Linked DNA regions of Struthio camelus. The protein of the gene in region 2 interacts with the protein of the main gene of each other region in a pairwise test. Links are inferred from orthologs where the notes say so. Each region holds a gene or a part of one and is shown on either strand. Other genes may lie near its edges.

What was found.
Region 1: the proteins of USP2 (region 2) and LHX4 interact in binary tests that used the Homo sapiens proteins (3 or more experiments, as listed by UniProt). The two-hybrid records come from large-scale screens. The link is inferred for Struthio camelus from reciprocal best matches to the Homo sapiens genes USP2 and LHX4.
Region 3: the proteins of USP2 (region 2) and DTX3 interact in binary tests that used the Homo sapiens proteins (3 or more experiments, as listed by UniProt). The link is inferred for Struthio camelus from reciprocal best matches to the Homo sapiens genes USP2 and DTX3.

Annotation. Positions count from the first base shown.
Region 1 is NC_090949.1:6,654,377-6,661,783, forward strand, and holds the start of LHX4 (LIM/homeobox protein Lhx4), read left to right. Parts: upstream 1-4,020; coding exon 4,021-4,157; intron 4,158-4,190; coding exon 4,191-4,205; intron 4,206-4,351; coding exon 4,352-4,458; intron 4,459-7,407. Other genes in the region: QSOX1 (sulfhydryl oxidase 1), read left to right, coding at 1-661. UniProt on the Homo sapiens protein: May play a critical role in the development of respiratory control mechanisms and in the normal growth and maturation of the lung. Binds preferentially to methylated DNA.
Region 2 is NC_090963.1:3,219,140-3,226,574, reverse strand, and holds the start of USP2 (ubiquitin carboxyl-terminal hydrolase 2), read left to right. Parts: upstream 1-4,028; 5' UTR 4,029-4,141; intron 4,142-4,737; 5' UTR 4,738-4,926; intron 4,927-5,526; exon of another isoform or gene 5,527-5,590; intron 5,591-6,226; 5' UTR 6,227-6,267; coding exon 6,268-6,984; intron 6,985-7,435. UniProt on the Homo sapiens protein: Hydrolase that deubiquitinates polyubiquitinated target proteins such as MDM2, MDM4 and CCND1. Isoform 1 and isoform 4 possess both ubiquitin-specific peptidase and isopeptidase activities.
Region 3 is NC_090969.1:2,297,374-2,305,787, forward strand, and holds the start of DTX3 (probable E3 ubiquitin-protein ligase DTX3), read right to left. Parts: upstream 3,094-8,414; 5' UTR 3,000-3,093; intron 1,791-2,999; 5' UTR 1,729-1,790; coding exon 1,716-1,728; intron 1,283-1,715; coding exon 600-1,282; intron 138-599; coding exon 1-137. Other genes in the region: PIP4K2C (phosphatidylinositol 5-phosphate 4-kinase type-2 gamma), read right to left, coding at 4,419-4,499, 4,624-4,727, 4,833-5,082, 5,259-5,372, 5,712-5,750, 6,005-6,151, 6,231-6,371, 6,450-6,546 and 2 more. UniProt on the Homo sapiens protein: Regulator of Notch signaling, a signaling pathway involved in cell-cell communications that regulates a broad spectrum of cell-fate determinations.

The DNA.
Region 1 (7,407 bases), on a different chromosome or scaffold from region 2:
GGCCAGGGAGAGCCGGGAGATGGGAGCGGCGGCAGACGCCAGGCTCAGTACCGACAGGCCAGGGGAGAGAGACAGAGGGGTGGAGAGGGAAAAGGAGGAGGAGGAGGAGGAGGAAGAGGAAGAAAAAGAAGCGGAGAAGCCGAAGGGGGACGGCGCGGAAGGGGAGATGGGAGCCCCGGAGCGGCCGGGCTCCTCCGAGCTGCGCAGGCCCAGCATCGTGCGGATGAACCCCAAGCCGCGGGAGACGGAGGAAGACATCGTGGACCTGGACTCCTTCAGCGAGCAGCACTTCAAGAGCAAGGCGCTGCGGGCGGCGGCGGCCGGCAGGCGACGGCGACTCACCAAGAGGGACACCATCCCCCTGCACCTGGCGCCCGGCGGCCCCCAGGACTTCGACTACGCGGCGGGCTGGGAGCGCCCGCGGAAGCGGGACCTGGGCTCGTGGCGGCAGGGGGGCGACCCGGGCGAGGAAGAGGAGGCCGGCGCCGGCTTGCGAAGGAGCCAGTGGTTCCGCGTGCTGGGTCTCGGCTTCTCCCGCGTGGACATCAGCCTGTGCATCGTGCTCTACTTCCTCTCCTCCATGTGCCTGCTGGGCATGTACACCTTCTTCCGCCTCCGCATGCGCTCCCGCAAGGGCCGCCCGGGCTTCCCCATGGCCTGAGCCGGAGCGGGGCGCCGGGGGCATGGCGGGGGGCGAGGGGTTCTCCTCCCCGGCCCGGCGCCTGCTCGGCTCGCAGGTGGGACGGCGTTGAGGCCAGTTTTGTAGCGGAAGGGGAAAGGTTTTGCTGCTTCCTCGCCAGGAGCTGCCCCGCTTGCGGCAGCCGCGTCTTCCGAGGCCCCCGGGTTTGGGAACCAGCTCAGCTCACCCTGGCGGGAGGGCGAATTTGGGGGTGGGCGGGGGGGGGAGGTATCAGAAGAGCAGCGCCTCGGCTTGGCGCGCCGCGTTTGGGGGCACCCCGCTCGCTGGGCGCGGCATCGCCGGCGGGGGCCGGGGTCTCCCCACCGAGCAGCCTGCGGAGCTCCTCGGCGCTGGGCTGGTCTCAAAGCGGGCGGAAGCTCGGGCCGGCGCGGCCGAGCAGCCCTTTGGGGTTAAACCACTAGCAGCGTTGGGGGCGCTTGGGAGGCTGCGGGGTGGGCCGGCCGGCCTCTGCGCTTCGCTTTCCCCGCGGCGGAGGGTGGCGGCAGCCCGCAAGGGGGGAAACCGTCCCCGCGCGCTCCCGGCTCGCTCCCTCGAAGGCCGAATCCTCCAGAGACGACCCGGGAGTGGCTTTGGGTGTTATCCCCTGCACCCTCCCGGGCAGGTGATGGAAAAGCCGTCGGTTTGGGCCGTGGTCAGCAGCGTGTTTCGTTTTCGTGCGGTAGCGGAATAAATTATTTTTGCCAACATCACTTCGGCTGTGGTGGCTCGTCCCTGCCGCGCGCTGTCCCGTCCCCTACGCGCGTCCCCGCCTGCCGCGGCGGGTGCCCGGCCCCCTTCCTCCCTGCCCTTTTATCCTTGTTACGAATCATTAAGGAAAATGGTTGTTTTGCAGAGCCGGGGCCGGGGCCATCTGCTCGCCCGGCGCTGCCTAAATCCCCCTGTAACAAATTCATTGGGATTACGCTGCCCTGCCCTAATCCCAGCCCTTCCCCCCAGCACGGGGGATTTAAAAAGGATTAGAGCCCGGCTGATAATAAACTTTATTAGGGGGGAGCAAGGGGAGGGGGGGGTCAATCCGATTTGGAGCCTTTTTCTTGATATCTTCACTTTGCCCAGGTGGGAGGAGAGGTGCCCTTAGCCGAGCCTTCGGCCGGCGGCTCCCGCCTGCGGGGCCGAGACCTGCCGGCAGCCGGCGGGCGGCCAGGCGCAGCCCGCGGGTGTGACGAGCGCGGGAGGTCTCTGCCGCTAGCGGAGCCCTGCTCGCCCGCCGGGCCGACGAGGGGGGTCTGAGCCCTTCCTTGGCCCGGCGGGGGAAACGGAGCGCCCGCGGCTAATTACCTAAATGGCCGCAGGCTGTTGAGAGACGCTCGCTATTCCCTAATAGCATTTGCCCTCGAGTGCAATTTAATTTTCTCCGAGGCCGGGCTGCAGCCCCCCCCCCCCACCCCCCCGCCCCGGGCGGGCGCCGGCCAGCGCTGCCTCCCGCCTCCCTCTTTCTTTCCCCTCTCGGCACGGGCGAGAGCATCTCTCCCCGGGCGCGCGGGGCGCCGCGGCTTCGGCGCCCGTCGGGCGACTGCTGCAAGGCGAGGGCCGGCGCCGGGGCGAGACCGTGTCTTGCGCCTCCGGTAAGCAGGGGAGTTGCCCCGTGTGGGAGTCGGTCGGTGCCGCTGCGGTGCCGACGGCGGGGTGGGCAGCGAAGGGCGGGCGGGCGTCCCCCTGCGAAAGGCTGGGGCGGGGGGGAAGCGGGGGGACAGCGAGGGTTTGGCGGCCTCCTGCACCCGGCGGGCTCGGGCGATCCTCCGCGGTCCCCGTCAGCGCCTTTGGCCGCGCAGGGCGAGACGCCAGGCTGAGACCTGGCAAACTCACTCCATGGGAGCCGCCATATTGCCGGCGTGGGCCGCCTGTCCAGAGCCCCAACGCCGCCCCGGGCCAGGGTGGGTTTTTGCTTGCAAACCCCTCCCTTCTGGCAAAGCAAAACCCGTGGGCAGCCGAAAAGTACAACAGCCAGAAAAAAGGAGACAAAGAAATTGGGGGGGGGGGAGATGCAAACGCCGGGGGAGCCGTGGCGAGCCGGGGAGCAGGACCGTCCTCGTCCTCGGTATCCAGCGGAAACCCCTCTTCCAGCGGTCGTTGCCGCGGGGCTCGGCTCCGCCGCGGCGAGCGATGCGGCCGGGGACGCGGGGGTCGGCCCCGACCTAGCACAGCGGAGAGACGAGTGAGGAGGGGGCTTCCCCGCGGAGCGGGGCGACGGGGCCGAGGCCGGCCGCGTCCCGGCCGTGCCGCGGGGAGCTGCTTTCCGGGCGAGACCGCCACCAGGCCCCGGCTGAAAGCCCGGGGAGACGTGTTAGTGCCGCGGGACTCACTCCTGTCATGAGTGCGCGCTGGTCTCTGCCCGAGCCGGGAGAGGTGCTGGCTGGGGTTTCGCTGGCAGAACGGGGCTTTGGGGTTAAAAGCCACCGGTTCGTTGAAAATGGTTTCTTGTTGAAACCGTCAGGCTTAATAAATGTCTCAGGTTGGGTTTAAAAAAAAAAAAAAAAAAAGACTTTTTTTGAAGTTGCTGAGAGCCCTCTTCGCCTTGCCGGAGGCCCCGTTTCAGGGCTTTCTGGTGGGAACCGCCTCTATTTGTTCATTTTGGCGCGGGAGCGAAGGCCGAAGCGCGCCGAAACGCCGTCAGGCTGCTCCGGCGCATCGGAGCCCCTTCCCCTGCCCCTCGGCGGTCAGTTTGTGAAACCATGAACCTGCTGAAACCGTGCGGTTCCCGACCTGCCCCGCCGCCGCCGGGCAGGAGGGCCGGCTCAGCCTTCGCGGGGCCGCTCCGCGCGCCCCCCCGGACCCCCGCGCCGCCGGCAGAGCCCCGCAGCCGCCCGCCCGCGTCCTGCCCGGCGCAGCCGTGGGGCAGACGCCCCCACGGGTTCCTCCTCCGCGCCGCTCCTGCCAGCCCGCTGCGCACCTCGCTTTCAGCTTACTGGCTTCTTTTTCCTTATTATTACTATTATTTTATTATTACTGTTGTTTTGAGCTCTGGGAGCAGGTTTGTCCTCGGGGAGCGGGCTCAGCCCCGGGTGCGGGATTTCAGGGCCGCCGCCGCCGCGCCTCGGGCCGTGCGCTCCCCGCAGCCCCTGTCGCGACAGCGCCTGTCGCGACAGCACCCTGCTCCCCCGCCCCGCCCCGCCCCCTTTTCTAGCCGCTGGGGGCGGGGCACCCGAAGATGCCACGCCCCTTCCCCGCAGGCCCCGCCCACTCGCCGGCTGCAAGCCCCGCCCCCGCCACGCTCCGGCGGCGCCCCGAGGCGCGGGCTGCCGGGGATTGGCTGCGGGGGGCGGCTCGCCCCGCCCCCCCCTGCGGGGCCGGTGACGTCAGGCGCGCTCCCCGCAGTGTGAATGAATCAAAGGCGGGCGGGCGGCTCGGCACGGCTCGGCACGGCTCGGCACGGCACGGCACGGCTCGGCACGGCACGGCACGGCTCGGCACGGCTCGGCACGGCTCGGCACGGCTCGGCACTGCCCGGCCCGGCCCGGCCCGGCTCAGCTCAGCGCTCGGGCGGGCAGAGCTGCGGCATCCCGGCCGCCGGGGCAGCCTGCGGGGCTGCGGGGCCGCCCGCCGCCCTTCCCTCGCCCCTGGGCTGGCTTCGGCCCCCGTGTGCGGAGGGGCGAGGAAAAGAGCCGGCTCCCTCGATTTTATTTCATTTGATTTGGTTTGATTTGATTTGATTCTCTTCTCCCCCCCACCCCGGTGCAATAAAATGATGCAAAGCTCAGCGCTGGCTGCCGAAGGGGCTGTCAAGGGGCTTCCAGAGATTCTTGGTGTGCCGATGCAACGTAAGGACGCTTTTCTCTTTTCCCCTCCTTCGGCTAATAATAAAGGAAACCGGGAGCCGCGGCGGAGCCGGGAAGGGCGGCGAGCGGCGAAAGCGGGGAGTGCGGGGCGGGCTGGGCCGGGGGCTGCTGGGCCCGGGCTTTGCCTGCGTGTGCTTTGGCCTTGGCTTTATTTTTTATTTTTTCCCCCCCTCTCCCCATGTCTAGCAGCGTTAGCAGACGTGAAGATAGGAGCGAGCGGTGGGGAGAGCAGCGCCCCGGGCAGCGCGGGGGGACGCGGCTGCGGGTGCCGGGGGGGGGCAGCCCCGCGGCGCGGTGACGGCCGGGCTCCCCCAGCCCCGACGGAGCGGTCGGCGTGTGTGTGTGTGTGTCTGTGTGTGTGTGTGTGTGTGCACGGCGCTGCGTGTGCAGGGCTGTGCGCAGGGGCAGCGGTGCCCCCCACCCGCCGCCGCGCGCCCCGAGCCCCGCTATGTCGTGTATCGCGATATGCGGAGCCTCGCACGCAGCGGGGCCGGGAAGGCGCCCGCGTGCGTGTGTGTGCGCGTTGCCTGCGTGGAGGGCCCGCTCCGCTCCCGCGCAGCACGTGTGTTAATATAGCTGTGTCTATACATACCAAAAAAGCATAGTGTAACGGATCACGTATAATCTATACAGATACGAGCAGCCTCTCCGTATGGAGACGCACGCGCGGGTGCGCTCTGCGTGGGTGTATCCATACATGTGCGAAGACACATGTATGCGTAGAGCACACGGACACGCACCCGCGCAGGATACACGCGCTGAGACACGGTGCGTGGGGGGTCCCTGATCGGGAGCCCGAGCCTCCCCCCCGGCTTTGGAGCCGGTGCCCGGGGCTCTCCGGCTCCCCCCGGCCCTGGGCGGCTTTAATTCGTTTTCGGTCTTTTTTAATTTTTGTTTTTTCCCAAGGACTCAAGCCGGTGCCACCCGCCTGCGCCAGCCCCGGCCCTGCCGCGGCGGCGAGCCGCTGCCCCCCGGTCCTCGCGTTCGTTCTTCCCTTGGCTGTATTTTCCCGGATTTACCCTTTTTTCGTTTCTGCTCTCTGCCCTAGATGGGTAAACACGCTTCTGAAACGGTATTTCTCTGCAGTAGAGAGGAGAGAAATTCCCCAACAGGGAAAGCGAGCCGAGCCGGGCAGGAGCACAGCCCGTGCCACCGCAGGGGCCGCAGAGGTCTGTCCCGCAGCCGACTCCGCGCCTTCCCTCCCGTCCCCTAATAAGACCTCGTGTGCAGAGCCGCAGAGTTACTTTTATGCCCCTGAAGCCTCATCGGCTCGACAAGAAATTAGGTGCCTAAGTCACCTCGGAGCAGCAACCACCCAGCAAAACTGCCATTTGCCCCCCCCCCCCCCCGAGTGCCAGCAGACTCTTCCCCATGACACTGCCATTTCCATAGGAACTGGTGCATTTCAGGGAGGAAATAACCGGCTTTTAAAAATTATTATTTATTTATTTAAGCACCAAAAAATACTGGCATAAACAAAATATGTGATGGGGGATGCTATGAAAGTTTTCCTTGCTGCCTATTTGGGAAAAGCTGTGTAATCCCCTTGCTGCTCCAGCACCCAGAGCCGTGCGGCCGCCGCACGCTTAGGGCCGTCAGTTCGCTATGGGAGGACGTGCTTCGGGCCCGATCCTGCACGGGTTGCACACGCGCACGGTGCCCCTGTGGCAGAGGGGGGGCTGCCCCCGGGCAGGGAAAGCCAGGGGAAATCCAGCTGCGCCAGCTGTGCCGGGGGCTGCTTTCCAGCAGCACCTCACGCCTGCAGCCCTGGGAGGTTAGCGAGCCCCTGCTATCCGAAATGCAGAAACAGCTCGAAGGCCTCTGCCTCGTGGCTGGGCGGCGAGTGAGGCTGCGCGTCCCTCCGCAGCCCGGGGTGCGTGGCCAGGGTCTGGGTCGCAGAGGCCGGGACGAAGGGCCGCGACGGCCGAGGGCTCGCTCGCTTTTGTTGTGATCCCCCTGCGCAGCGCTGGTGTGTGCGAGGGGAGAAAAACAGTTGGCATTTTTATTTCTAACGGCTATTAAATTGCAGGTTGCTCTCTGAGTTTAAACCACTGTTGAGCCTCCTTAACTTAGCGGGCACTGGGTCTTGTAGCATCAAGCTCGCCAAGAGGAGGGGAGCTGTGCCTGGGGAGCTGCCCCGCGATGAAGCTAGCTACAGCCCTGCTTTGGAGATATTATTAATAGTATTAATTATTATTACGGTTTTGCAAATCTTAGTTATGCAAAACTTCTGCCAAAGCCTGTGGGAACTGTGCCCGGGTATAGACAGCAGGAGCAACCTCTGTCCAAAGGTCTGGGGCGGGGGTGGGGGGGGGTTGATTAATTGGCACTGGGAAAGTCGTTTGCGTGCTGCGATGCAGCGAAACGGATTGGAGGTTTTTTCGCTTGTGAAGGAATGATCTTCTCCTCTTCCCCCCGAGCCGTTAGAGGAGCCCCTTGGCTGGTGCTTTTTGTCAGATCGCGCGTTTATGACAGCAGATTTCGGTGTGCGTGAGGGAAACAAAAGCGCTCCGGCCGCGCTGCGCTTGTGTGACACAGGAGTGTGTGCGTGGGTTTACGGAAAGCGTGCAGAAAGCAGGCGTGAGCCCGCTGCAGCGGCGCGGCGTGGGAGCGAGCGCGGCGGCGCAGCCGGGGCCGGCACGCGTGGGGCGGAACAGAAACGCCTTCGTGCCCCCCAAACGCAGCCTGGCGTCGGACCCGCGTTTGCAATGCACCAGCTCTGCCCCGCGTTCGTGCCTGCGGGTGACGATCCCTTCCACTTGAAAAATAAAAAAAATAAACGGGGGGGTCACTTGCAAACTTAGCGCGTGGGTCGGGTATTGCCCGGGCACGAGGGGACCGGCTGGGCGGTCTCCCAAAGCCGCCGGGGGATTGCCTCTGCGTTTGCGTTTTGAGGTTTTTGCGGGCTGAGGGATTTCTGAGGCTCTCCGC
Region 2 (7,435 bases):
CTCCAGGGCAGTCTTCCTCCGGGGTCCAGCCACGCCAGGCGCTGCGAGAAGCCCACGTGCCCCCTCCCTTCTCCGCCCCCCGCTCCCTCCCTCTCCTTGGGCATTTCCCCTGTGCCCACTGAAGAGCAGAAAAGGGCTTAAGGGCAGCCCAGCTTTTGGCCACCGCTTGAGCGAGGCCAGGACGTTCCCGAGAGCGGGGCAGGGAGAGGAGAGCAGCCCTGGGCCCGGCGATGCGGAGGGACAGCGCGGTGGCACCCTCGCGCAGCAGAGGGACGGGTCCCGGGGCAGAGGGAGGTGCGGGCGCCCGGAGCTGGGGTCGGGCAGCGTGAGCCCCGGCCCCCGGCCACCTTTCCCTGCGGCCCAGGCCACGCCGACATAGCGGAGAGCAATTCACAGTGGCTGGCGATCGCTCCTGGCTTTGCCCTGGGCACGGCGAGCTGCCCCCTTGCCCGGTCCCCGGTCCCCTGCCTGCTTGCTTGCCGCGTGGTGCCGCCGGGCTCGCTGGTGAGCGCCGCGGCAGGCGCCGAGCCCAGCCCACAGCGCGCCGGTGCATCTCCAGGCTCATTTCTTCTGTGAGCATCTGTAGTTGTTCCCACAGCTTGTCCTAAAAGACACTTTGTTAAAGGGCAGGGGGTGGAGTGGGGAGGGGGGGGAAAGAGAAACCCCTACCAGAAGCAACAACAAGAAAACCCATCCTTCAAGAGTTTCCCTCTGTCTGCACAATAAAACCCTAGGTCGTGTGCCGGAGCCGCGTGTCTGTGGGGTGCAGGGAGGGAGGGAAGGGGCAGCTCGTGCTCGCAGGCGGGGGGCGGGTTGGGGGGGGGGTCCTGGCCCCGGGACCTCCACAGCCCAAACCCCGTGGGCAAGAAGTGGGGTCAGCACCAGCCTTGCCTCCCCCGGGGAGGGCGACCTGCCCGCAGCGGGGCCCCCAGCGCCCTGGTCCGGGCTCCGGGCCCCATTGTGAGCTCGGGGCCGGGGCTCCGGCGCTCAGCGCCGCCGGGACACGGGCGAAGCGGGGTAGGTCCGGCTGGGCACCCCGGGGCTGCGTCATCCTCCCGGGCCGGGTCCGAGGGGGCCTCTCCATCCCGTCCGCCCAGGGCTGCAAAGCAGGGTGGGGGCCAGCCCTCGGGGCACGTCCTCCGGGGAGGGAACGGCTGGCGCCGAGGCCGCCGGCGCGCGTGGGAGGGCGGCGGGGCGTGCACGCGCGTCCCAGAGGTGCCGGCCCCGGGGCGGCGCGCGCGTCACGCCAGGGTCCCCCACCTGCGTGCCTGCTGACGCGCTCTGCCCACGGTGCCTGGCACCCTCCGAAGGAGCCGGGCAGCAGCGGCGTAGCGCTCCCCGCTCCGGGTCGAGGTGCTGCCCGGTTGGGCCGAGAAACACGCTTGGGAAATACAGTTTGGGAGCAGGGCCCTGCCACCAGCCCCTAGTACGGCCGGGGAGCCCGTAGCAGCCTCCCGGCGTCATGCCCCGGCCCCGACGCTTCCCTGGGGCGGCCAGGAGGGAGGAACACGCCAGCGTGATTGCATCCCGCCTCATCATCCGCAGCAGGTGCTCACTGAGTCACCCCGGCCCACCGGGGTGCGGGCGCGTGGGGCGCCCCACGCCGCCCTGGGCACGCCGGGCTTGGGGCGCAGGGCCAGGGCCAGGTGCCCCCCCCACCGCCGGGTCCCCCCGCTCCCGCCTTTACTGTGGGCCTGGGGGAGGCTCTTCTCCCCACTGCTTGCCCCAAGAGGAGCAAAACCCAGAACATCTCCTCCCATCACCTTGCTGCTCTGCTCCAGACCCCCCCCCGGCAGCCAGGGGCACCCCTCTTCCTTCTCTGCCCCTCCTTTCTCCCCTGGAGCTCCCCTCCCTCCCCAAACCTCTCCCCACACTCACCCCCAGGCGTCCTGCCCCGTTTCTGCAGCCCTCCTCGCCCCTGCCCCAGCTCCCCTCTTGGCCTCCCCTGCTAGCAGCCCCTTGCCGTGGGCCACCAGCCCCCCCGGGCTCACGTCCCCTTTAAGCCTTCCCGAAGCTGGAATGCGAGAGGAGCATTTCGGCGCCCTGTGAGGTCAGATAAAGACACTATATTTATCTAGCCGGTAACCTGAGCCGTGAATTTCTGCCGTGGCGTTTTTACGCGGCCTCGCGGCCCTCCGGCACAGCCCCCTCGGGCCACTTCGCCCAGCGCCTGGAGGGTGGAGGAGCCGAGCTGCGGGGCGGCCCGTCCGCCTGCAAACAGGTCGGGCGCTGCCGGCCCCCTCTGCATCGCTTGCTCTGCTCCGGCCCCAGAGGAAGCGCCCGGGGAGGCAGGATCGGCTCCCCCCGCCGAGCCCCGCGGGCCGTACCCCACGACCGGCCGCTTGCCCGCAGCCATGCCGGCACAGCCCCCGTGAGCAGCCGCTGGCCGTCCGCCCAGCCGACCCACGCGCAGGTGAGCCACGGGACCGCCGCGGGGACGCCAGCCCCGGCATCTGCCCCGGGGCCGGGGCCGCACGACAAGGTGGGAGGGGAGGCTGCAAAATCGCCGGGAGGACTTGGCAAAACTCTGCCCCCCTACCTCTGGTTGGGTAAAACCGCGGGGAGAGGTTGCCGACTGCTTCGCCTCCGGAGGGCTGGCCGGGTTCAGAGTTCACGCGTGAAAACCCGGCAGCTCTCTGCCCCCCGGCACCCTCTTCATCGCCGAGGGCTGGCGGAGCCGGGCGCTCGGGACACCTCCCTGGGGTCCCTTCTTTTTTTCCACCCGCAGACCTCAAAGCAATAACGTGTGCTGGGTCTTACGTCAGGGTTCCCCGTGGGCTTGGGGTTTTACTGCCTGGGGGGGTGGCCCAGCAGGAGGGATGAGCAGCAGGTTTTGCAGCCAGGTGGGTATGCGTCAGCGGCACAGCGCGAATCCCGGCCAATGACTCCCAGCCAGCACGTGAAACGAGCTGGCAGGTTCTCAGGCCCTGTGCCTGCTAGGGGATGCCTTTGCTGCAGGAAGGGCCTTGGCTGGGCTCATCCCCGGCAGCACCCGTGACCCTGTCGGGTGCCTTAGCCTTGGGGGCGAGCGCCAGCGGCACGGGGGAGCTCCGCAGCCGCGGTGGCACCCGTGCGCTGGACGCCGGGGCTGGAGCAGGGCTGCCGGCAGCGCCCCAGGGCTCTGAGGTCTCTTTATCTGCTGCCGAAGGGCTTCGCGCGGGTGACGCAGGCCTCTCGCGGGAGCAAACCCGCTGGAGCACATTGCAGCCGGGGCTGCTCGGGGCTACCCTTCCCCGCGGGAAACGCAGCTGTGCCTGGCCTCATCCCCCTGGGGAACGGGCCGGGGGCTGCCCTGACCCCTACGGCACCATCGGGACGTGCATGTGGGGCCCCTCCACCCCAAGCCACGCAGGGCCGTCCCCTCTGCCCCCGCCGTCCCAGAGATTGCTCCCCGAGTAACCTCCAGGCTGGGACATCGTGTCTCGGGGGGGCAGACACAGCTCCAAGCCTGCGTAAGCGAGGAGCAGCTGTGCTGTAACCCCTTGGACCCAGCCGGGGCTGTGTAAGCTGAGCCTGCCCGGGTCCTTCACGGGCCGCGGAGGGGTCACGGCCTTGGCCAGGGCCAGGGGCTCGAGGTCCTGGGTGGAGGACAGTGGCTGGGGAGGGCGCAGGGTGTCCGGGCAGCATCCTTCCCCGCTCCTCTGCCTCCGGGGTGAAGGCTTTGCCCCGATGTTATCCCAGCCTGGAGTTTTCCCGTTGCTGCCGTCCCTCGGGAAGGCCGGCCAGAGCTGGAGGCTGGCGCCGGAGGCTGGGGGAGGCTTCCCCAGCAGGGAGAGCAGCCCCTGCGGCGCCCGGACTCCTGGGCCCCGCTGTGCCGCCCGGCCGTGTGATGACGGACCGGACGTTCCTGTGCCTCAGCTTCGCCGGACGCCCAAGGAGGATAATGAGGGTGCGGGAGGCCTGAGTCAGCGGTGCCGGCCCCGGGGCTGTGCCAGGCGGGAGGAAAGCTCAGCGTTATTGTGGGCAGGGAGGGGCCACGCGGGCCAGGAAGCAATGGGAGGAACCGGGGTTTTCTCACACCCCCTCAGCTCCTCCGGCTCATGGCACGCTCCCCGTCTCCGGCAGCCCTGGCGCCCGGCACGGCGTGAGGCGGGCACCGCGCGGGGCAGGCGGTCGTGGTAGACGGCGGCGGTCCCACACGGTAAGATCGCTCCCGTCCTATAACGCCGACGGGTTTAGCACCCGCACGCGGGCGCCGTTCCCGCTGCCGGCCCCACACCCCGCCGCGGGCTTGCCCCCCGGTCTGCTGCCCCGTCCCGCTGCCAGAAAGCACCTGCCGCGCTGGGCGCCGGGGCGAGCGTCTCTCCCGGCGGCTGGGTACCCGGGCGAGGCGCTGCCGGCGGTGGCGGGGGCACGACGGGTCTCAGAGCAGCCAGCCAGGCTGGGTGGCGGGGGTAGGACAGGCTGCTGCGGGCAGGGCTGTGCCGGCACCCAGGCGTCCGTCCCGAGCCCGGGGCCGTGGCGCCTCGGCCGGGCGCACCGGGAGCGGGGCGGCGCGCGGAGCCTCTCGGTGCTCGGCTGCTCCCTGCCCCGGCCAGGAGGGTTTTGGGGGAGCCGAGGGCGCCGTGTCCCTCCCAGCGCAGTTCCCCACTGCGCGTACCGAATCCCAGCTGGCAAAGCAGCTCCTGGGCCCTCCCAGCGCTGGCAAGGGCGGCCAGGGCCTGGCAGGGAAGCGCCGGGTGTTTCGCCGGAGTATTTGCCTGGAAGCGGATTATTCACCCCTCCGTTCCCAAACAGGTCTGTGCGCTCCAGCTTGCTCTTGCTTGCGAGCAGTTTCCTCTCCGCTGTGGGACAGCAATAACAACAGCAACCGGGACGCGGCCGGCCGGCCACAAAGCTGGGCTGGCGGCCAGGAGGCCACGGCGGCCGGACCGCGCTCCTCACCACAGTTTGCTAAAGCACCGCCGGGGCCACCTCCGCGCCGGGGTGAGCAGGGACGGGGGGGGGGGCCCACGGGAGCTGAGGGCCGCAGCCCCCTCCGCGGGCGCCCGGCCGCGAGGCGCAGCGCAGCCCTCCCCGCCGCCGACTCCGGTTTCACGCGGATCGGTTTCACCCGGCCGCCAGTGGAAAATGCAGGGCACGCGCTCCCCGTGCCCAGGGCAGGGGCAGGCACCCTGGGGCGGCACCCACGGGGGGTCCCGTCGGGGTAAGGGCTGCAGCCAGCGCTTGCCTGGGGTCTCCGGGGGTCTCACCCTGGGCAGGACGCCGGGGTCCCTCCCAGGCTCGGGCAGGGAGTGGTTTTGCGGCGGCTCCTTCCCTTGCACCAGGCGCGCGGTGCCGGTCCCCACGGCTGGCTGCGCCCCGCGGGCCGCCGGGGGCTGCGAGAGGGCCGGGCAGGGCAAGGCAGGGCAGGGTGCCCGGCTCCGTCCCCCCCCAGGGCGGCTGACGCTTGGAGCGGGGCCAGCCCGGGCCAGAGCCCGCCCAGGCTGGGCTGGGAAAAACGCTCTGAATCAGGGTCATCTCCCTGGTGACTGGAGACTCTCCGAGCCGCAGGAGCCACCGTCCTGCCAGGGACGGGACGCCGGGTACCCGGGGGAGCCCGGCTGGGGCTGCCTGCCCGCCCCGGTGCCAGCCCCAGCCCCCGGGACAGGTAGGGGACCCGCCACCTGCCCCTGCCCCGAGAGCATCGGTGCCGGAGCCATCGGCTCCGGACAGCCCTCGTTGGCGGGCTGGGGGGTTGTCCCCGGCCGGCCGTGCGCCCTGGCGCCCGGGGCAGCCCCAGGGGAGCTTGCTGCCCCCCTGCCTCGTGGGGCTGCGAGCAGGGGCAGGCGGAGCCCCTCTTTCCCCCATCCCGGGGCGGGGGGCTTCCCCACCAGCCCCCCCTCTCCCCCTGCTCTACCCCTCCGTGTTTGCAGAGCTCGGGGCTGGCTCCCAGTTCGCTGCAGGCTCCTGCATGCCTACCTGCCCCCGCTTTGCCCCTCTCCTGCCGGCTGGGGAGAAGCCGGCGGGTGCTGCGGGGTCCGAGCTGGGCTGCCACCCACCCTTAGGGGCTGCCCGGCTGGCGGGGGCCACGGCAGCTGCCTGGCCACGAGGGTTCGCCTCGGCCCGAGGTGTCGAAGGGAGGCAGGCGGCAGGGCCGCGGGGCGGGCTGCCGGGCCCCCGGCGCGGGGGGCGTCCAGGGGCCGGGGAGGGCCGCGGGCGGGGGGCGAGCGAGGACCGCCGTGACCGTGGCCCGGGAGCTGCCTGCCGTTTGCAGGAGGTAGCGGGGACACCTCTTCTCTTGCAGTCGATGCCTCCAGCGGCGCCTGCTGAGCCCCAGCCTGCAGCATGTCCCAGCTCTCCTCCACCCTGAAGCGGTACGTCGACGCGTCCCGCTACGCCGAGACCACCTACGGCAAGGTGCCCGCCGCTTACAGCTCCTACTCCTCCTCCTATGGCTCCACCTTGGCCACGTCCTACGCCGACAGGGACAAAATCGGCTTCAAAACCAGCCCCTCCGCCAGCTACCTGGCCTCCCCCCGCTACCACCACGCGGGGCTGTCCCCCACCAGCGGCTACGACGCCGGCCGCCTTGCCCTGTACCCCGACTCCGGCGTCCGCCTGAGCCCCGCGTACATCCGCAGCCAGCCCCGGCCGCCCGGCGGCGGGGGGCTGAGCGGCGGCGCGTGCTATGCCTTGGCGGGGCCCCCTGGCAGCCCCCCGGGCTACGCGCCCGCCCCGGCGCCCCTCAGCCGCCGGAAATCCACCAGCCACTCGGACCTGGCGCGGGAGTTTTCGGGGCTGCACGCCTCGGACAGCGGCTACGCGCCCACCCACGGCCCGCCGGCCGCCCGCACCCGCCAGGAGCTCTGCACCCTCTACCAGGCGGCCGTGCGCTCCGACTACGTCCACGACTACCTGGAGACCTACGGGAGGAAAAGCGGCCGTGGCGGCCTCCCCGCCGACTCGCACAGCCCCGCCGTGCCTTCCTCGGCCGCCCGCTACGCCGGCCAGCCCTGCGAGAGGAGCGACGGCTACTGCAGCACGCCTGCCTGGGACCCCACGGTACGTGCTGCTTGTCGGGAGCAGGGGGGCGAAGCCGGGGGGTTTCGGGCTACGCGGTCCGTGTCGGCATGTGCTGAGAGGTGAGGGACCCTGTGCGCACTCCCTGGGGCTCTCCCTGCGTTGCTCCGTGCCTCAGTTTCCCCAGCTGCGCCATGCAGCGATGGTGCTGACCTTTCCTTCATGCCGCCTTTGATTGCGCAGCAGTCCTGGGCCAGAGCTGCTGAGTGGTGCTGAGCCAGCCGGACCGGCCGGCCGGGCAGGTGTCCTCGGCGGGGACGCGCTGCCGGCCGCCTGCACCTCACCTGGCCCCCCCCCGCACCCCTCGCCGCCAGGCACGTCCGTGCACTGGCATGCCCGTGCGCGTGCCAGCCGGTGCCGGCGCCGGCGGGCCAGCTCACAGCCCCGTGCACGCAGACCCGCACGGGCGCACACACATCCACGCACGGCTGAG
Region 3 (8,414 bases), on a different chromosome or scaffold from region 2:
GTGCCCACGGTGAAGGTGAGGCGCTGGTCGAAGGCTTTGCGGAACAGCCCCAGCACCTTGTTGCCCTCGGGGCAGTCGGGCAGGTAGGCCACCCGCGTGGTGCCCGGGTACCGCACGCCCGGGTTGGGGTGCTCCACCTGCGAGGCGTCGGGCCGACACGGGGCGTCAGGCGCGGGGGTGCCCCCAGGGGGGCACCCAGAGGGATTGGGGTTACACCCAAGGGTGCTTGGCCAGGCTGGGCTTAGCTCCGTGGCACCAGAGCAGGGTCGGGGACACCCCCCAAAGTCGCAGCGTGACCAAAGGTGAACATCTGGCGTCAGGGGCACCCAGATGGGTTGGCGTAGCTGGGTGCCAGGGCACGCAGCCGCTTTTGGGGACGCACAACCAGACTAGGGTGCCCAAGCGGCAGCGGTGCAGAACCAGGTGGAGGTGCCCAGCAAGCTTTGGGGATGCCCAGTAGCACCACGGCCACAGAACAGGACAGGTGACACCCTACCAACTTGGGATGCCCCCATTGCTGGGGGCACAGGGGACACCTCGCCAGCCCGGGGTGCCCGGTGCCCAGCCGACGCGGGGTGAGGGGGCACGCGCTGTCTTACCCCTTGGACGCCGGGTGGGAAGACGTACTGGATGATGATGGTGCCGAACTTCTCGTAGCCGGGGAGCAGGAGGCTGGAGTCCTTGGTGACCAGCATGCGCCCGTTCTGGGGCTGGTTGCCCACCAGCTGCCCGTAGAAGCGCCCGCACATGGGGCAAGCGGTCTTCACCTGGAGCGCCCGCGTGATGCAATCCTCGCAGAACGAGTGTCGGCACTTCTCCAGCGTCTTCATGTTCTGGATCTCGCCCAGGCAGATGGGACACTGCCGGTCGGGTTCCTCGTCCCGCGAGCACCCCGGCGCCCCGCCGGCGCGCCCCCCGCCGCCCGCCGGTCCCCGGGCCCCAAGCCCGGGCCCGCTCTTGTCCAGCAGGGCCACGCAGCCCACCACCTCCCCGTGGCGCTGGGCCTTCTTCAGCTCCTTCTCCGTCTCCTTGAGCAGGGCCTTGAGGGCCTTGCGGGCCAGGTAGAGGCCGTTGGCGGTGCCCGGGACGGGCGTGCAGAGCTGAAGCACGTAGATGTCGGAGGTCTCGCCGTCCACCAGGATGCTCACCTTGGTCTCCTCCTTGAGCCGGGCCAGCTTGGCCGGGCTCTCCTTGGTCAAGAAGTCCCACACCCGCTTGGACACCGTCAACTTGTTCTTAGTGGCCCCCCCGCACGCCGCCATCCTGGACAGGACAAACGACACTGGGGGGGGCCCAGGCCCATGGTGTCAGAGCCTGTCGGGCGTGGGGTTCACCGCGAGGTGCCACAGCCCCCTCCCGCACGATGTCCCCAGCCTGCTCCTTCCTTATGGTGTCCCTCCATAGGCCTCCTCCCAGACCGTGATGCTTCCTCAACAGGCACCGGGTGCCCCCAGCCCTGTGGTACCCCCCGCTGGACCCTCCCCAGGGGGGATGGGATGGGATGGGATGGGACATGTCCCAGGTGCCACCTAGGTGGCACCGAGGCCTCTCAAGGACCCGCAAGCTGAGGGGATGTCGCAGGAAGGGGCAGGGGGTTGGGGTCTGGGGGCACCCTCGTGCCCAGCCCGCAGGAGCACCCAGGAGTCCAGGTTCTTGCCCTGCCCAAGGTGGGGGGGGGGGTCCCAGGGCCCAAAGGGGGGGGCAGCAGCACCCACCTGGTGAGCCCATGGGGGACAGCACGAGCCCGAAACACCAGCAGAGCCGTGATCAGCGGAGCCACGAGCCACGGACTGGGAGGGACACAGGGTCACACTGTGCCCCCCTCCCCTGGATCTTGTCCCCAAGTCCCACCCCCCAGCATGTGGGCCCCCCGGAAGGGCTCGCTGCCCCCTCCCCCGAGGGGGGTATGGGGGACACTGCTCTGCCCCCCCAACTCCCAGCCCCACTGAACCCCCTAAAGAGAAAATATCCCCCCCCCAGGTGCTAATCCCCATCAGGAGACCCTACAACAACAACCACGGCAGCGTAATCCATCCTACGCCCCCCACCCCCGCGGTGTCCCCAGGAGACCCTACAACAACAAACAGCCCGAAACGCCGGGCCCAGCACAGCGCCACCCCCGGGAACAGAGGGGCTGGGGGGGCCAGGTACGGCCTCCTCGGTGCCCCCCGCTCTCCAGACCCCACTGCTCGATGGGGTGGGGGGGGCACCAAACCCCTGGAGGACCCCAGGATGGGGGGGGGGGAAAGGGGTTGTTCACCTGCCCCTATTCCCCCCCGCCCAGGGGCCCCACTGCTGGGGGGGGCCGTAGAGAGGCTGTAGCCCCCCCCCCCCAGTTATGGGGGTCACCCCCCAGCACTGCCAGGGGAGGTGGCATGCAGGGGACAGGGATCACCGGGGGGGGGGGACACAGCCAGGGGACAGGACAGGAGCCGGAGGGGGGGCAGGATGGGGAGAGATATGGGGGGGGGGACGGGATGGCGACAAGGGGGGTGAGATGGGGCCGAGCTGGGACAGGACAGGTCGGGGGGGGTGGGCAAGGGGGGGGTCAGGCTGGGCCAGGGGAAGGGAGGGGGAAGAGATGAGGAGGGACAGGATGGGGGGGCAGGACGGGGCCCCGGGGGAGGGGGGAAAGGAAGGGTATGAGGGGGAAGTAAATGGGGGGGGCAAGGTGAGGCCTTGGGGGGGGCAGGATGGGGGTGAGGGGGGCAAGATGGGGCGGGGGGGGAGGAATAAGATAGGGCCCGGAAATTAGGGGTGGGAGGGGGAGAAGCCAGGCCTAACCAAGCCCCGGGGAGGGGGTGTCATGCTGGGGGGGGGGGGGCCCGGCCGGACCCGGGGACAGCGACGACAACGACGCCGGTGGGGGGGGGGGGAGAGGCTGGGCCCGGCCCTACCCGTTACCGGGAAGGAAATGAAGCTGGGCCGGGCCCTGCCCGTTCCCGAGGGGAGGGAGGGAGGGGGGGGGCAGGACGGGGCCCCCCCCGCGGCGGACCCACCATAGCCGGGAGGCCGGAGCATGGCGGGGGCGGCGCGGCCCGGAGCGGTGCGGCGGCGGCGGCGGCTGGCGGCGGCCGGGAGGGGGGGGGTGGGGGGGGGGAAAGGGTTGGGGGGGGGGAGGCTCTTCGCGGAGCCGCCGCACATCACGTGGGCGCGCGGGGCGGGGCGCCGCCGCCATGGCAACGAGGGCGGGGCCCATGGCGACGGCGCTGGGCGGTGTGCGGGGGGGGGAGAAGGGGCGGGGCGCGGCCTGGTACCGGCGGACGCAGCGGGGCGGGACAGGTCCCGCTCGGCGCCCGTCGCCATGGCAACGGAGCATCATGGCAACGGGGGGGGGGGCACGGGTATCGGGGTCCCGGTAACCGGGCACGGAGGGGCGGGGGAGGGGAGCGAACTGGGAGTCCCGGTAATGGGGTGCAGCACGTTGGTAAGGTGGGGGGGGCTCAGTACCGAGATAGAGCCTGGCTGTTGGGGGGGGGGGTCCCAATAACAGGACACAGCCTGGGGAAGGGGGGGGGGTCCTGGTAACAGGACACAGCTGAGGGAAAGGGGGGGGGTTCCAGTAATGGGGGCAGAGCCAGAGAAAGGGGGGCATCCTCATAATGAGGAGGGGGTCCCAGTAACGGGACACAGCCTAGGGAAGGGGGGGGGTCCCGGTAACGGGGGCAGAGCCTGGAGAAGGAGGGGGGGGGGTCCCGGTAACAGGGGCAGAGCCTGGGCTGGTTCAATAATTTATTTCTTAGGATACAGTGCTGGAGAGCAGCCCCCCCCCCATTACCCCCCCAGCACGGCAGGGTCCCCCGTGCAGTGTGTGTGGTGTGGGGGGGGGGCAGGAACAGGTCCCAGGACCCCGCTGATAACGGGGGGGGGGGCAACCCCACACTGTGACCCCACTTGTAACAGGGAGAGGGCCATGCCTCCCCCAGCCCCACTCCTACTGGGGGCGGGGGGGCCCACAGGCTCGCCATCCTCCCCCCCCAGACCAGACCCATAATGGGGGAAGGGGGGGGCTACTCCCGGGACACCCCCAGGACTGTCAGTGAAACACAGGGACACCCCCCCCAAAGGAACAGCCCTTTTTGGGGGGGTGGAGGAACCTCCTACCCCCCCACAGGAGGAGACACCCCACTAGCCCCAGGGCAAGTAGTGTTCAATTGCCCCCCCCCCGAGCATGGGGGGAGGTAGAAGCAATGCAGCCCCATGTGTGGGGGGCAGCCCCCAGCTTATTGCATAGGGCAGGGCTGGACCCCCCCACCCCACCCCACGGTAAAATAAGGCACTTGAATAGCAGCCCCCCACCTCCACCGGGCACCAACGGTGGGGGGGAGGAGCTGCCCCGCTCGCAGGCGGGGTGGGGGGCACCGTGCCTGGGGCGAAGGTCGGGGGGGGGGCCAGCTCAGCCCCGGGCCCCCCCCCATCTACGCGAAGATGTTGGTGATGAAGTCGAGGAAGCGCTTGGCGTACTGTTCGGGATGCACCGTGGAGATCTCAGCCCCCGCCTGCGGGAGAGCACAGGATATTGGGGGGGGGGGGGGGTCAGACCCTGCCCCAAACCTCCCCAGACCCTCCAAGGGCCCCCCCCCCCCCAAAAAAAAAGGAGGCCATCCTCTTCCTCGGGCTCACCCCGTGCTTGACGGTCTTGGCAGCGTGGGCGGCCTTCTTGCGGGCGTCGTACTGCGTGAGGACGTCGATGAGCCCCATGAAGTACACCTCCTTGCGGGGGCCACCTGGGGTGGGAGGGGGAAGCAGGCGAGGAGAGGGGTGGGTGAGCCCCACACCCACCTCTTCGGCCTGCCCCCCCCCCCCCCCCAAGCACCCAATGCCCCGCTCACCCTCGGCGCTCCGGATAGCGTAGACGTCCACATAGGGGTCGAACTCGCCGGGGCCCAGCGGCCGGTGGGAGTTGAGGTAGCTGCCGATGCCCTCCGGGGAGGTGCCGTAGGAGCCCACGATGGCGGCCCCCGCCTCGTCGCCCCCGCCTTCCTCCTCTTCCACCTCCTCTTCCTCCTCCTGCTCTGCCCGCGCCACGTCGTGGATGCCCAGCAGCAGGCTGTAGTCCATGATCTTCAGCTGCACCAGGAACTGGCGACACGGGGGAGATCACAGGAAGGGACATGGAGAACCCCTGGCCGGCAGCCGGTTTTTGGGAGGGGGGTACCAACCCTCGTGACTGCCCTAGTGAGAGGTGGCCACCCCCTCCCCAAACACCCAGCCCCTGTCCGGGCACCACGGCTCTGGCCTGGAGCCCCCTCACCCACCTCCACATCTCTCTTGAGCTTCTCCATGAAGTCCTTCTTGTCCTCCTCGCCCACGTAGACCTTCTCGTTCTTGTTCAGGAAGTCCATGTCCTTCAGTGTGGGCAAGTCTTTGCCCTGTGGCGAGACGAACATGTGGGACGGGCCCCTGCGGTCCCACTATGGCTGTGGGGAGCCCCCTCCCCACTCCAAGAAACCAGTGGGGTCCTCCCCGCCCTGATGGGGGACCCTGGAGGCTCACGGATAACAGGGACTCCCTGGGGACGAGCGTGGTGGCACCTTGCCTCCACGGTTCCTCAGGAGGTTGCAGGGATCAGCTCTCCCTCCACAGCTGCAGCCTCATCGTTAAGTGGAGGCTGGGGACAGGCTGATAACGAGCCTGGGACTGCCCCGGTTCCCCCTCCCCAGGCTGGAGGCTCCCAGCACCATCCTGCCCACGTCACTGTGCCGTGGTACCTTCTCCTTGTCGCTGGCTTCACGGGACACAAGGGAGCCCTGGAGGAAAAGCAGAAGCTGTGTTAGGCTGGGGGGAAAAATCAGCGCTCCTGGCAGAGGGGACAAAGGAGGGGACAACAGAGTTGGTTAAATCCACCCAGGGATGGAGAGCATGGAGAAGCAGGAGGCATGGATGACCCAAGGACACGGGCTGATTTGGGGGCTCTGTCTCAGCTCCAAGCCTCTAGCAGCTTTAGGGGGGGCCCCCGTGGCAGGACAGCAAGGCTGGGGCGATGGGGTGGGCGCCCCGTTACCTTGAGGTCGTACTTCCTGTGCACGGAGAGCCGGTGGCTGAACATGTTCCTCATGACGAGCAGGTAGGTCTCCTCACTGTCCACGCTCACCCGGTACATGCCCAGGAACCGGGGCAGCAGCGTGGTCCCGTGACACTTCACGATGTACTGCGGGGAGACGTGGGTGCCATCAGGGCCCTCGGGTGACCCTGGCGTTCCTCGCTGCCCGGCCACCGCGCCCCCGTACCTGGTGGTAGTGGGACAGGAGGCTGTGGACGTCGGCCACGTCCTCGCTCGACAGCTCCTTCACCACCAACGTGCGGTCGTAGGACAGCAGGAACCGCCGGTCGCTGCCCTCAGAGTGGGGCGGGCTCCGCGTCAGCGAGACCTGGGCAGGACGGGCGTCAGGCAGGGCCGGGGCGACGCCGGCGCGGCCCCGAACGCCACCACCGCACCGTGGACCCACCTGGTAGTCCTGGTCGTCGATGCCGAAGCGCTCCCGGAGGTTGCGGAAGACCTGGGGACAGTACTCCTTGAACTTGAAATGACTGGGCAGGTTCTCCCTGCGGGTGGAGGTCACCAGCATGAGGACAAGGAGCTCCTCAGGGCAGCCGGGGGCTTCGTCCCCCCTTTCCGGAAGGTCTCCTGGCCCCGTTCGGGACCACCGCGGAGCTGCCACCCGGCCGTGCTCACCGGTTGAAGAGGTGGTTGTTGACTTTGATTTTGGAGCTGGCCTTAAAGTCGTCGGGCAGGAGCATGACGGGCAGCGGGACCTGGCTGAGCTCGCCGATCTGCGGGGCAGCGGGACGGGTGACGCCGGTCCCCCCCGCTGCGCAGGGCCACCCTCCGTGACCCCGCCGAGGAGCCCCCAGCAAGGACCCCAGTCCTCCCAGCGGGTGGGCACCGGCGCCCGCCGCATGGACGTGGCAAGCTGGGGCCGGGGGGCAGCTCGGGCAGGCGCTTGGATTAACGAGCGGGTTAATGAGTGGCGGCCGCAGGTGGCCGGGGGTTAGCGCCGTTACCGGGGGGCAGCAAGCGGCATGGTGGGGGGGGGGGGCACACGCCATGCGATGGGGCCCAGGGGCCACCCACCTCCTCCGGGGCTGTCCAGGGGGGCACTGCGTTGCCAGTCCGGGGGCTGCTACGGGGACAAATTGGGGGGGGGGATGGGGGGAGCCGTCAGTGCTGCTGGGGGGCACAGCCCCCCGGGGCAGCGTGAGGGGGCTTCCCACATCAGTGTCATCCCCCCAACTGGCAGGTGCTGGACCCCAGACCCCCAGGGGAGAAGGTCCCGGGGCCCCTACAGGGGATTGGGGGGTCCTATAGGAGGGTGTCTGGGGTCCCTACAGGGGATGGGGGTGGGGTCCCGGGGGGGTGTCTGGGGTCCCTATGGTGGATGGGGGGGCTCCATGGTTGGGGGTGCCTAGGCTCCCTACAGGGGATTGGGGGGCTCCTATAGGGGGGTGCCTGGGGTCCCTACAGGAGATGGGGGGCAGTCCCACAGCAAGGGTGTCTGGGGGTCCCTAAAGGCAATGGGGGAGGGGGCCCACGGCAGGGGTGTCTGGGGTCCCTACGGGGGATGGGGGGGGTCCCACGGCAGGGGTGTCTGGGGTCCCTACGGGGGATGGGGGGGGTCCCACGGCAGGGGTGTCTGGGGTCCCTACGGGGGATGGGGGGGGTCCCACGGCAGGGGTGTCTGGGGTCCCTACGGGGGATGGGGGGGTCCCACGGCAGGGGTGTCTGGGGTCCCTACGGGGGATGGGGGATCCCATAGGGGGTGTCCGGGGACCCTACCGGGGGTGGGGAGGGAGGGTCCCCACAGGGGTTGCCTGTGGTCCCTACGGGGGATGGGGGACCCCATGAGGGGGATGTCTGGGGTCCCTGCCGGGGAGCACAGGGGTGTCCCACAACGGCGGCGAGGTCCCGGGGAAAGGGGCTCCCGGTCCTTCCCCGTGGCGGGGCCCGGTCCGGTCCTGGGGGGAGGAAGAGGCGCCGGGGACGGGTCGCAGCGGTGCCCCGGGGGGCCCCGCTCCCGTCCCGGCGATGCCCCGGGAAGGAGCCCCGCGATGGCGGCGGCCCCGGTGGGGGGGGGGGGGGTCCCGTGGCCGGTGCCGGCGGCCGGTGCTGCCCCACGGGAAGGCCCTGGGGGCGGGGAGGGGGGGGGGCCGGTCCCGGGGAGGGCCGGTCCCGCCCTCACCTGGTGGTTCACGCCCCAGGCCAGCACGGCCAGCAGCGGGTCGGCGGCCCGCGGCACCTTCACCCGCTGCGGCACGAACCGCTTCTGCTTCTTCTTGGTCTTGGTGCGCGGCCCCGCCGGCCCCGCCGCCGCCATGGCCGCCGCTTCCGCCCGCCTTCCGCCCGCCCCGCCGCGGCGCCGGAAGTGGCCTCGCGTCACCGCGTGCGTCACCGCGTGCGTCACCGCGCAGCGCCC